3 linked regions of the Canis lupus familiaris genome follow. The protein of the gene in region 3 purifies or fractionates together with the protein of the main gene of each other region. This does not show direct contact. Links are inferred from orthologs where the notes say so. Each region holds a gene or a part of one and is shown on either strand. Other genes may lie near its edges.

What was found.
Region 1: the proteins of PSMA2 (region 3) and PSMF1 purify together in Homo sapiens (affinity purification with mass spectrometry; 3 studies listed by BioGRID and IntAct, with this or other methods). This does not show direct contact. The link is inferred for Canis lupus familiaris from reciprocal best matches to the Homo sapiens genes PSMA2 and PSMF1.
Region 2: the proteins of PSMA2 (region 3) and UBE3A purify together in Homo sapiens (affinity purification with mass spectrometry; 4 studies listed by BioGRID, with this or other methods). This does not show direct contact. The link is inferred for Canis lupus familiaris from reciprocal best matches to the Homo sapiens genes PSMA2 and UBE3A.

The regions. Positions count from the first base shown.
Region 1 is NC_049245.1:20,365,382-20,369,136, reverse strand, and holds the start of PSMF1 (proteasome inhibitor PI31 subunit), read left to right. Parts: upstream 1-820; 5' UTR 821-978; intron 979-3,755. UniProt on the Homo sapiens protein: Plays an important role in control of proteasome function. Inhibits the hydrolysis of protein and peptide substrates by the 20S proteasome. Also inhibits the activation of the proteasome by the proteasome regulatory proteins PA700 and PA28.
Region 2 is NC_049224.1:35,738,432-35,742,086, reverse strand, and holds part of UBE3A (ubiquitin-protein ligase E3A), read right to left. Parts: intron 1,669-3,655; coding exon 1,525-1,668; intron 544-1,524; coding exon 423-543; 3' UTR 1-422. UniProt on the Homo sapiens protein: E3 ubiquitin-protein ligase which accepts ubiquitin from an E2 ubiquitin-conjugating enzyme in the form of a thioester and transfers it to its substrates.
Region 3 is NC_049239.1:7,336,746-7,340,400, reverse strand, and holds part of PSMA2 (proteasome subunit alpha type-2), read right to left. Parts: coding exon 3,607-3,655; exon of another isoform or gene 2,886-3,606; coding exon 2,804-2,885; exon of another isoform or gene 2,260-2,803; intron 1,314-2,259; coding exon 1,240-1,313; intron 1-1,239.

The sequences.
Region 1 (3,755 bases), on a different chromosome or scaffold from region 3:
TCTCACTTTAAAACAAAGGTCATAATAGTTTCCACCTTAAAGAGTTAAGGGAATTAAATAAGATAAAATTGGCCAAATTGTCTGTTAAAGACTCAATACCATCCCCTTCTTGGGACACCTGGGTGGCTCAGAGGTTAAGTGTCTGCCTTCGGCCCAGGGCGTGATCCTGGAGCCCCGAGATCGAGTCCCACATCGGGCTCCCTGCGTGGAGCCTGCTTCTCCCTCTGCCGTGTCTCTGCCTCTCTCTCTCTCTGTGTCTTTCATGAATAAATAAATAAAATCTTAAAAAACAATACCATCCCCTTCCTACCCACCCTTTTCCAGAATGTCTTGCCAGCAGGATTCTGGGTTAGATCCAGCCAATGGGAGGCAGCAGAAGCACCTTATACCCTCTCCAATAGCAGTGGATCCAGAGTTTCAGTTCAGGTTTGCAGCCACTTCCTGCAGATTTCATCCTGAATACTGCCTTAGGACAAGAGGCAGCTGTGATCATTGCTGGTGCTCTCCTTCAGTTCCTGCAACTTCCAGACTCTCTGAAAGCTGAAGGTAGCTTTCCCTAATCTTTGCATTCCAACCCATCCAGTGGGTTCCAGTACTGAACACTACTAATCATAGAGGGATTCCTGGAGGAGGTGAGGGTGTTAGAATGATGCTAGGCCAAAAAAGCAGAAGGCCTACAGTATTGAATAACTCCATCTCGGTGCCCATTTGGGCCCTGCCCTTCCACTCACCTCTTCACAGTTTCCAGGGAGACAGTTTCCAGGGAGCTTGAGATCCTCACACTGCTGTCACTTGGCAACCAGATGCTGGTGGCTGCAGCCACCTCCCATGTTCTTTTCATCACCCTGAGCCCTCATCTCTGGCATGGGCTCTGCACTGCCCAGGTAGCAGGGGCCCACCTGGGGGAGGCATCTTCCATCTGCTTCCCTTCTCAGCCAATCACAGGCCTCACAGGGACAACCAAGACTCTTGATAGTGGTAAGTCCACAGAAAGTGCCAAATGGATGAAGGGCAGGACACAGACAACCCTCTGGTCCCAAAGGATCCTCTCATTTATTCTCATCCATGGAGGGCCCTGGGGTTCAGGGGTGGACAGAACACAGTACCAGCCTAAAGGGCACATAGCATAATGCAAGAGACAGAGCTTACCTCATTCTAGCAATACACGGGTGCCAGTATCTACTCCATGCTGAGTACTAGGACACAAACTACCAAAGGCATGGCTCGCCCTTGGGGAGGGGGGCTGGGGAATGAATAGCAGATGCCATGGTGTCCAGCTCACTTCTTAGCAGTCATCTCTAAGCACCAAAGGCTACTTCCTCTAAACTTTATGATTCTCTACCTGAGGGCTTTTCATGCCCCCCAGAAGCAGCCCTCAACGAGGGAGTGAAAAACAAAAAACAAAAAACAAAACAAAAAAACCTTATTTCTCTTACCCTCAGTCAGAACAAAACTGGGACATGTCTCTCCCAGAGTTGCTGGTCAGGACTGAGCTCAGGTGCCCAGAGGGACCTGGCTTCATCACATAACACCTAGTGGCTGCTTCCTAGTACACTTCTCTACCCTCTTGCTGCTATTTCCTAGAATCAGCTCCCAAATAAACCAGTCAAATCCCTGTCTCATGTTAGCTTCTCAGGGGACACTGACTAACACGGGGATGATGATGTATTACAGGGAACCAAAGTTCTGTGAGACTTAAGCTATAACCAATTGTCTGCAAAGCAGTGGCTGAACCACTAAGGATGGGTAAGGGAGCTATCTGCTATCTGCCCCGGTACAGGCAATGAGCGGGTGCATCTTTTGTAAGAAAGTTAAAAGTAATAATAAAACTGACCAGTCTGCTTTTAATTATAAACCAGCCATTCTAATGTTTCAATTATAAAATTCTCCTCCTCATCTCCTTCCCCTCCCCTGATGGCTCTTGACATCCCGTGCCTGTTCCTTAGCACCCCACTGATGCCAATTGAAGACAGAGAAATTGACTGTGGGCAGAGGAGATGGGGGAAGGCCTCACTCAAGAGGCAGCATTGATCTTCTATCACACAGTATTAGCCGCGTTTCACACCTCCATAACTTTGCATGTGCCAGTCCCTTCTATGGGGATACCATTTGTGCCTCAACTCCCTCCTACTCTTCCATCATGGTTTAGTGTAGTTGGGCACCTCCTCCTCCAAGAAGCCCTCCCTGACCCCGATCTGAATTAGATGTCTCCTCTGGGCTCACACAGACTTCCACGTGCCCCTATGTTATGATGGTCTTCACATTGGGTTCCTTTGTATATAATTTTCTTTATCTCTAGACAGTGGGCTCCATAGTGGCAGGAACTGGAGCTCGTTCACCTAAGCATTTAGGAATAGGGCTGCCATTGGGTGGGCACCTTTGTGCTGTGCACAGATTGCATCACCATCCGTGGTAACACAGCCTCTGGATATTTAGCAAATCAATAAATGAATGAGTGAGTGAATGGATTGGTGGAATTTTCAATAACTGGGGAAGGATACTTTTTTTTTATTGGAGTTCAATTTACCAACATATGGCATATCACCAAGTGCTCATCCCGTCAAGCGCCCCCCTCAGTGCCTGTCACCCAGTCTTCCCAACCCCCTGCCCACCTCCCTTTCCACTACCCCTTGTTTGTTTCCTAGAGTTAGGAGTCTCTCATGTTCTGTCACCCTCACTGATATTTTCACTCATTTTCTCTCCTTTCCCCTTTATTCCCTTTGGGGAAGGATACTTAAAGCAGAAGAGACAAAGCAAGCAAAAGCAGGGATGCTTAAAAGTGCAGAGCTTCTTAGTGGAAAGGGTAAACAGCTTTTAGGCCACAGGCAGTATATCTCAGGAGTCCACCAGCTTTAGCACCACCTAGATTGTGGTAAACATACCTGCACTCTACCTCAGACACTCAGAGTCTCTGCAGATGGGGTTCAGGAATCTGGGCGTCCCAGAGGAGTCCCAGGAACACAAAATTTGGAGCAGTATGGGGCCAGCTAACAAAGTGAGTGGTGAGCCACAAAGGGGTGAGACTGGCCCAGTTACGTCGAGCCCACACCAATAATTCATTCACTCAACATTCATTTACTCATTCATTCAATATGTATATGTTGAGCCAGGAAGGCACTTGAGTATACCTGTGCACTAGACAGACTTGCTCTCTGCTCCCTCGTCACAGTCTAATGGGAAGACAGTTATTAAATAAACAAGCAAACAAACAAATACCTGTTATAAGGTCAGGTTATGATTAATGCTTTGCAGGAAAGAAACCAGGATAAGGAAGGGATTAAAGAGTATTACACGTTATTTTGGATGGGTGTCAGGGAAGCCATCTGGGGAGGCCAGTAGGAGGTGAGAGAAAGAGTCACTTAAAATGAAGAAGTGAACCATGCAGATATTTGGGGAAAGAGCATTCCAGGCAGAGATAGCAGTAAAGGCAAAGACCTGGAGAACAGAACATGTGAAAGTGGAAGCCTGGTTAGGAAGCTACTGCAATCGTCCAAGTATGAGATGCCAGAGGATCAGACCAGAGTGGAGGCAGCAGAGGTGGTAGGAAGTGGTCAGATTCAGAATTCAGATTCAGACGGTAAAGTTGACTAGCTTTGCTTTTGAATTTGTGGGCACGAGAGGACAGAAGTCAAGGTTATTGCAGTTAAGAGTGCAGGGGATGAGGGAAGAGTTGGAAGAGGTGATGTCAGAGAGACTTAAGGTGGGGTGGGGTGGGGGCACAGACCATATGGAGGTCTCTGCAGACCAGGGAGAGG
Region 2 (3,655 bases), on a different chromosome or scaffold from region 3:
GAGTAGTTTTGTTGGTATATATTTTTTAAATACTCAAAAAGGCTCAACTTCAAGCAGTAATAAACACAAGCAAAAGTGATTTAACCCTTAAAATAAATATTCAGAAAAACCTCTCTGTACATACAAGTGAAAGAATAAGTAACACTTTCACGCAAAAAAAAAAAAAAATAATAATAATAAAGGATTTGTTCATATAAGTAGCTGAAATCTGCTGTTCCAGCCCACATATCCCCAATAAAGAAGGGAGGCACAGACATAGGTGACTACTGTGGTTCACTATCTTACAGCCTGTTTGTACTGGGACACTATCACCACCAATTTTATCCCTCATTATATTTATTAAAATTTTAAATTTCTTTTTCCTTTTTTTTCTTTTTCTTTTTCTTTTCTTTTCTTTCTTTTTTTTTTTTTTTTTTTTTTTTTTACAGCATGCCAAATCCTTTGGCGTAAGTGATGGCCTTCAACAATCTTTCTTTAAGTTTTTCTTTGCTTGAATATTCCGGCAGTAAAAGGACATTAAAGCAAGTATGAGATGTAGGTAACCTAAATAGGGAGAAGGGGGGGAAAATAGGAAAATAAATCATGGGGAACATGCTCATCATTAAAAAGTCCTACTTTTAGATTGTACCTGTAGTTGAGACGGTTTGCAATGCAGAGTACACGTTAATGCAACTCAAACTTTTTGCTTTTTGTGTACAGCTATCAAGTATCAGTTTGTCTTTATCTTATATATTACTCAATACTGATGATAATGAAGATGGTGATGACTGATGATAACATATTGTATCCACTGAATTATGACAAACCAGACATTGTTTCAGGTATTTAACTGTTAGATCTCACTTAACTAAATCTTCTCACAATAAACCTATCATTATTCCCACTACAGAGCTGACATCACTGAGAAGCAAATTTACTCTAAAGTGGAGAGAATACCCAAATTTGGTTTTTAAGATTTCAAAGTCTGTGTTCTTTAATGCCAGTCAGAAATATTCTTGGCAATATGTTATATAAATGACTTAATAACAAATATAAACAAATTTACATTAAAGTCATCAAATAATACATCAAATAATATGGAATGCTAATAGAAATAAAGAAGGGAGGCACAGACATTTCTATATATTTCTATATATTTAAACCCTCAAATATACTACTGTTCATGAATGATCCTTACTCAACAAAAACATTAACTTATATAATAGAGAACAAATTAAATGCCAAGATTATGAAATTGGATTCAAATGTTAAGATTATGAAACCTAGTGCTGAACAATTTTCCAAGCCTCAATTCAACCATTTTTAAATAGAATACATAATAAGGTCTTGAATTTAAAAATTATGAACTAAAAATTGAATCATATCAATTTGCAAAATTTTAAATCAAGTGAGCTCTGTAATAGTTTTGAAATAGGCCAGTGTGTTAAAAATTTCCTCAAACAGTAATAGAAAAACACTCTCTGAACTAATATTTCATGTGATTTGGATAATTCTATGTAAAACTACAAAAAAATTAATAATTACCTTTCTGTGTCTGGGCCATTTTTGGCTATAATCATCTTTAATTTTCCTAGTCCGCCCACAGGTGCTCTGTCTGTGCCTGTTGTAAACTGCAAGAAGAGTCTTTTCTGCTCATCTGTAAATGAATGAACGATTTCCCAGAACTCTCTGAGAAAAGACAGAATACTGATTTTAGTTTGGCATTCATTTATAACTAGCACTAATAAGAGTTTATGATTTATTAAAACCATATTACAGAGATAACTTGGAAATTAATATCAGAAATCCTGAACATTCATTCCTGGTAATCAAGGATCTACAAATTACTTATACTAATTAATCTTACTGAAACACTTAAAAACATATAAGAGTAATCCACTGCTGCATTATTTAGAATGGTAAAAACTGATAAACCTAAGTGTCCAACAACAGGAAGTAATTATATAAACTATGGTATACTCATAATATATAATCAGCAGCAAACAAAAGACCAAATCCAAAACCCAAATCCTGCGAATTGAAAATACAAGATTTTGGCGGGAAAAGGTGATACAGATTAAGGACAAAATACAGAGAAACACACGTCTAATAGTACTAATCCAAAAGCATACTTTTAAAAAATAAACTTGAACACTTTTGATTTTGTGTACTGTAGAAGTGCGGATGGGGGATAATTCTGATATTTCTGCTATATGCAATTATTTTAAGAGAATGAGTTAGTCCCTGGCATTCCTAAAATCTATGTGATAAAAGTCATGTTGTTATAATGATGCTTGTTATACTCACACCAAAAACAAAATGCAGTACATTAAGAGCAATCTTGACTTGCTTGTTTGAATAATGATGTATCCATAAATTTAACATATACACTAATTCTCAGCTAAAAAAATTTCAAGATTTCAGAAAAAAATTGACAATGTTACTTAGTCAAAGGATAATTTTAATATTTATTTGAAAAGCTCTTTCCGGAATCTTAGCAGAGAATATCACACTTCCTACATGTGTAATTATAATTCTAGTTTTTGATATTCTAGTATTCCAGTATACAATTTCTATTATTAAAATGCAGGCATTTTTGTTGGTACAATGCCAATTCTTCTGACATGAGCTAGCAGCTTTATTAGATTTTTCGGCTCTCTTCAATGTCTTTCTGCTTCTTTTCCCTGACAGTCTAACATCCTCCCCCACCCCTCAGTTCTGGCAAACTTCTCATTCACCTAGAGAAACAACAGAGAACTATATCATAATCACAGGAAGTAAGACATGGAATATCCAGGTGCCTCTTTCAGGAGGACAAAATCGTTCCATAGTCTAGATCACTCCTTTTGGGTGGCTGACAAGAAAAAATAAGTCTCCTGTATGCCAGAGCTTCTGTCAGGGCCGCAGAGCTGCCCTACAAATGAGTGGTAATCAGGTTTTCTCACATTGTAGGAGGGCTCTGAATCCTAACCGAATCAGACACAGGCAGAGAGATAGGACCCTGACCAGTCTGTTTATATTCTTTGTTTATTTATTAGGAATGCAACTATTCAGAAAACTGAAAAAGAGGCTTCTGTATTTCTACCTAAGTCATATGTATGAATCACATTCCATCTACCTCTCTTAAAACTTATGCAGATTAAAATGCAGCGAAAAATCCAATAAAAACACCCATAACTTAAGTTTAGATTAAAACTAGGAAGAAAGAGTGGCAAACTCCCAACTGACACATAAGTTGAGAGTATGAATACCTGAGCCTGAACTAGTAGAGTCCTACAGGAGCAATATGGAAGAGGAGGGTGTGCATAACAATACCGGTTAGAGTTCACCCCGAAAGGGCAGAGCTCTACCCCAAGAGTGTGAACAACTAAGGACAGATAAGAGCAGATAAAGAATCATGTCTTTATAGAGAATAAAAGTGCGCCAAAGATCTGCCAACAAAACACATGAAAACTGTAAACAGATTTCAAATTAAGGTAAAAAAAATTTTAAGTCATAGTAGAGGCTATGAAAGGACAATTAAGTCAGAAACATAACTAAAACTGAAGAAAAGATCTTGAAAGGTATGACAGGAGCAGGGGATAACTGGAAATACAAAGAAAAGAAATCATATCAGATGGAGGAAACTAAAACTGAACTAGAGGAACCACAGGATAAACGAAGCACAATGATAGTA
Region 3 (3,655 bases):
AGAAAAACAATGATTTATGGCACAATTTACTTTTTTTATGATTATTTCAACCTGACAGCAGCAGCATAAGAATTCTTAAAAATCTAAAACACTCCTAAAAATAAGCTACAGATTAATTCTTTTAGTCCATTCACTGAAATAAGCTGTCCCCAAATAAGAAACTGACAATTATTTGACATGCATTCCTATCATGAAGCTTGTAACCATAACAGGAGTATAAATATTTTAATGTAATCAGAATGTGGTGGCAATATGGTAATTGTTTTAAATAAAGAAATCAGACCTTTGCTAAAATTTCTTTTATTTTTTTCTTAGAAATGTTTAAAGGCTCACTATTAAGGTGCTTTAAAAAAAGATTTTAGAATTATTTAAATTTACCAATTAACCTCAGGTTTAAGATTTTTAGTAATTTTTTTTCCTTAAAGGTTTTATTCATTTATTTGAGAGAAAGAGACAGAGATACTGAGATAAAGCATAAGTAGGGAAGAGAGGAAGAAGCAGGCTCCCCACTGAGCAGGAAGCCTGCCATGGGGCTCGATCCCAGGACCCCGAGATTATGACCTGAGCCGAAGGCAAATGCTTAACCAACTGAGCCCCCCACGTGCCCCAATTTTTAGTAATCTCAACATTATGTGAAAAATGTACTGAGAAGGTTCATCTGTGGGTTACAGGCAATTACAAACTTCTGCCATTCGAAATGTAGACATGCTTTGGGCTACTAATGCTGAGTCTGAATACAGCTGGAAGGAAGAGCAATTTGTTGTGCTAGGGTAGTGACAGCGGAGTTTTACATAATTCCTCACTATTTCTCAAGCACATACATCATATATTTAATCTACCATGAATACCAGGTATTTGGCTTCACAATTATTTTCTATAATTGCTATACTGTAAACTGTTATCACTTAACTCACTTAAACTTTCCTCCCACATTCTTTACTCCAAATCTTTTTAGATTATAGGAGGAGAAACAAAGTCAAAATAGAAACAACATTTAGGAAACAACTGTAAGAATGAAGAAAATTTCTTAAAAAATATATAATATTACCACTTAATATATTGAAGACCAGGGAGCCAAGGTGGAGAGAAGTTTTTGTTTATTTATAACCACACTATACAAATGAGTGTTTGAATATAAAGTAAAAAAAAAATCTGTTTATCAGATTCATGATATTAATTATTTAAAGAGAATTGAGAACCATAAAGTAAGCTTGCTCAATCTAGTTACCGTAAGCCTACCTTTTCTCAAGGAAAGTCTTCCCATTCACATAGTTCTTTCCCATTGCTGTGGCTTTCCAGGCAAAGTAAGCTCCCTAATCAGGAAGAGAAGACAACCATAAAACCATATTTTAAATCCTTAATCTAATTATAGCACCCTGCCATTTCTTTTTTTGTTCTATAAATTTGTATCTGACTTCTAAGTTCACAGAATATTTAGTGGAATGCAATGGATAATGTCAGAAAATAGGCTATTTTTAGAAAAGGAAAGTAACAAAGAGACATGAAGAAACTTCTGGAGGTTATGGAGGAACTTCAGTTATTTTGATTGTATTCAGGTATTTACACCTATCAAAACTCATCAAATTGTACACTCTGTATATGTGTAATTTATGGTACAATTTATGTGAAAAAGTCAGTTAAAGGAACAGGTTAACCTAAGGCAAATAAGCAAAAGTATTATTTCAGCTTACTAGGATGGTTGAAGGACTCTAATAAAAGTCTGATGAAAAACGGTGAGCAAGTCTTTATTATTGCTGGATAAATTAAAAAGAGGGCATTTCGTTAAAAATATTTCATAGTTTTGATATTTTGTAATCTAACGTTAAATGCAAACAGCAATTTATTTTATATAACATGGCCTAATCTACTGAAAAAATACATACACGCAAACACACAAGAAAAATACTGAAAGAAATATATCAAACATACTTTAAAAGAAATAACCGCCTTTTAGATAGAACGGAGGGAGAGGGCAAAAAAAAGAATCCTGGACCCCAGGGATGGTGCCTTCTGTTACCCCACTGGAAAGGAAGGGAAGAGGGTTTGTCATTTAGCTTCAGCAGCTCAGAAATGGGTAACAGACACTGTTACCTCCCAAAATGCTGCTCTCATTTAAGTAACAAACAACCAAAATATTTTTCTTTTCTTTTCCAGGCTACAAGGTTAGAGTGTAAGACTGACTCAGAGTGAACTTGCAGTTATTTCATGATCCACAAATTCTAAAAATTCCATTCCTAATCATGAAATTTTTTCTTCCAGTTTTCCTCATAGCAAATAGGATACTTTTGGAGCAGGAGTAGCATCTACGAACACCTTCTAACTCAGATACCTATCTTTTGCCTTAGAGGAGACAGACTCACCCACTTTGCAAAACATTGGCTTCAAGAGTTACATCTGTGTGTGTGTGCAGGAAGAGACATTGAAGTCAGCCCCAGGATTAAACAGATGGCAAGGAGTACAGCACTGTCCTCCAGACACAAAGCTTTCACCACATTTGTCAAAGTAACAAAATTCCACCGATTTAAAGAGATTTGATAACTATTTCAACAAATCATTCAAGTATGTGAAGTTAATGGATAAGAGAAAGCACCAGAACTGAGGGCAGAACTAGTGTACCCTTTTCATCAGAAGACTGAATTACCAACATTTTAAATATGGAAATGAATATACACTACTCCATAGTTCTAAAGTCCCAATGAATATGAAAAAAGGACGTACTGCTAAATTTTAAACTTTGTGGTCGTTTTTATTAGATGTGCAGAGTATTTTAACAAATCCCTCCAATATGTCTGATGATACTTACAGATGGATCTGACTGAAATAAATACGGTCGCCCCTCATTCCAACCACAAATTAGTAGGGAAACTCCAAATGGACGAACACCACTAAAGAAAAGAAAACATGAAATTATGGTGTGAAGTCAACCTAAGGATTTACTAATCCTCTTAAGTATTAATAAAGCAAATCATCAGGTAGAATGAATTAGACTTGGAAGTTCCTTAAAAAGTATTTCCTACCTTTCTGAACAAATCAATTCAAAATGAATTCTCTTTATGGTGCTAAGGAACATTAGTCAAATCATTTTGGTAAATGGAGGAACACAAATATTGGGGTTAGTTAAGTATGGAGTTAACATTCTGTGTCTTAACAGAATGACAACTTTCAACAAATGCAGCTTTTCCACTTGCTTTACGTATCAGCAACTCCCTTTATCCTACCTCATCCACATGTAGCCCAGATTCCAGAAAATTAAAAGAATATAGATGTGTCAGAGAGCTATTGCTTTCTTCATGTGCTTATAATCATTCTGGTTGGAAAGATAAATTTGGAAGCAGGAATAACTGCCTTCCCATAATTAAGTGTTTCAATCCCTGGGCTAAAGGACTTTATCTAGAAGCTGCCTTCTGCTATTGTGTTGACAGCAAGAAACCACTCTACTTTTTTCATTAAGAAAATATTCTAGATCCAACTGAGATTAGATATATTCATCAGAGTGATTTTCTTTACTTATTAAATAGAGCTAAGTCCTCTTTTTAAATATATTCACTCTTCTAAAACAGTTTCTTTTCTCTAATTCATGACACATTTCAAATAAAATCAACTTACCCTGACTGAGTGTATTCTTGCATCACTGAAGCTACTCTCTGTACCAGCT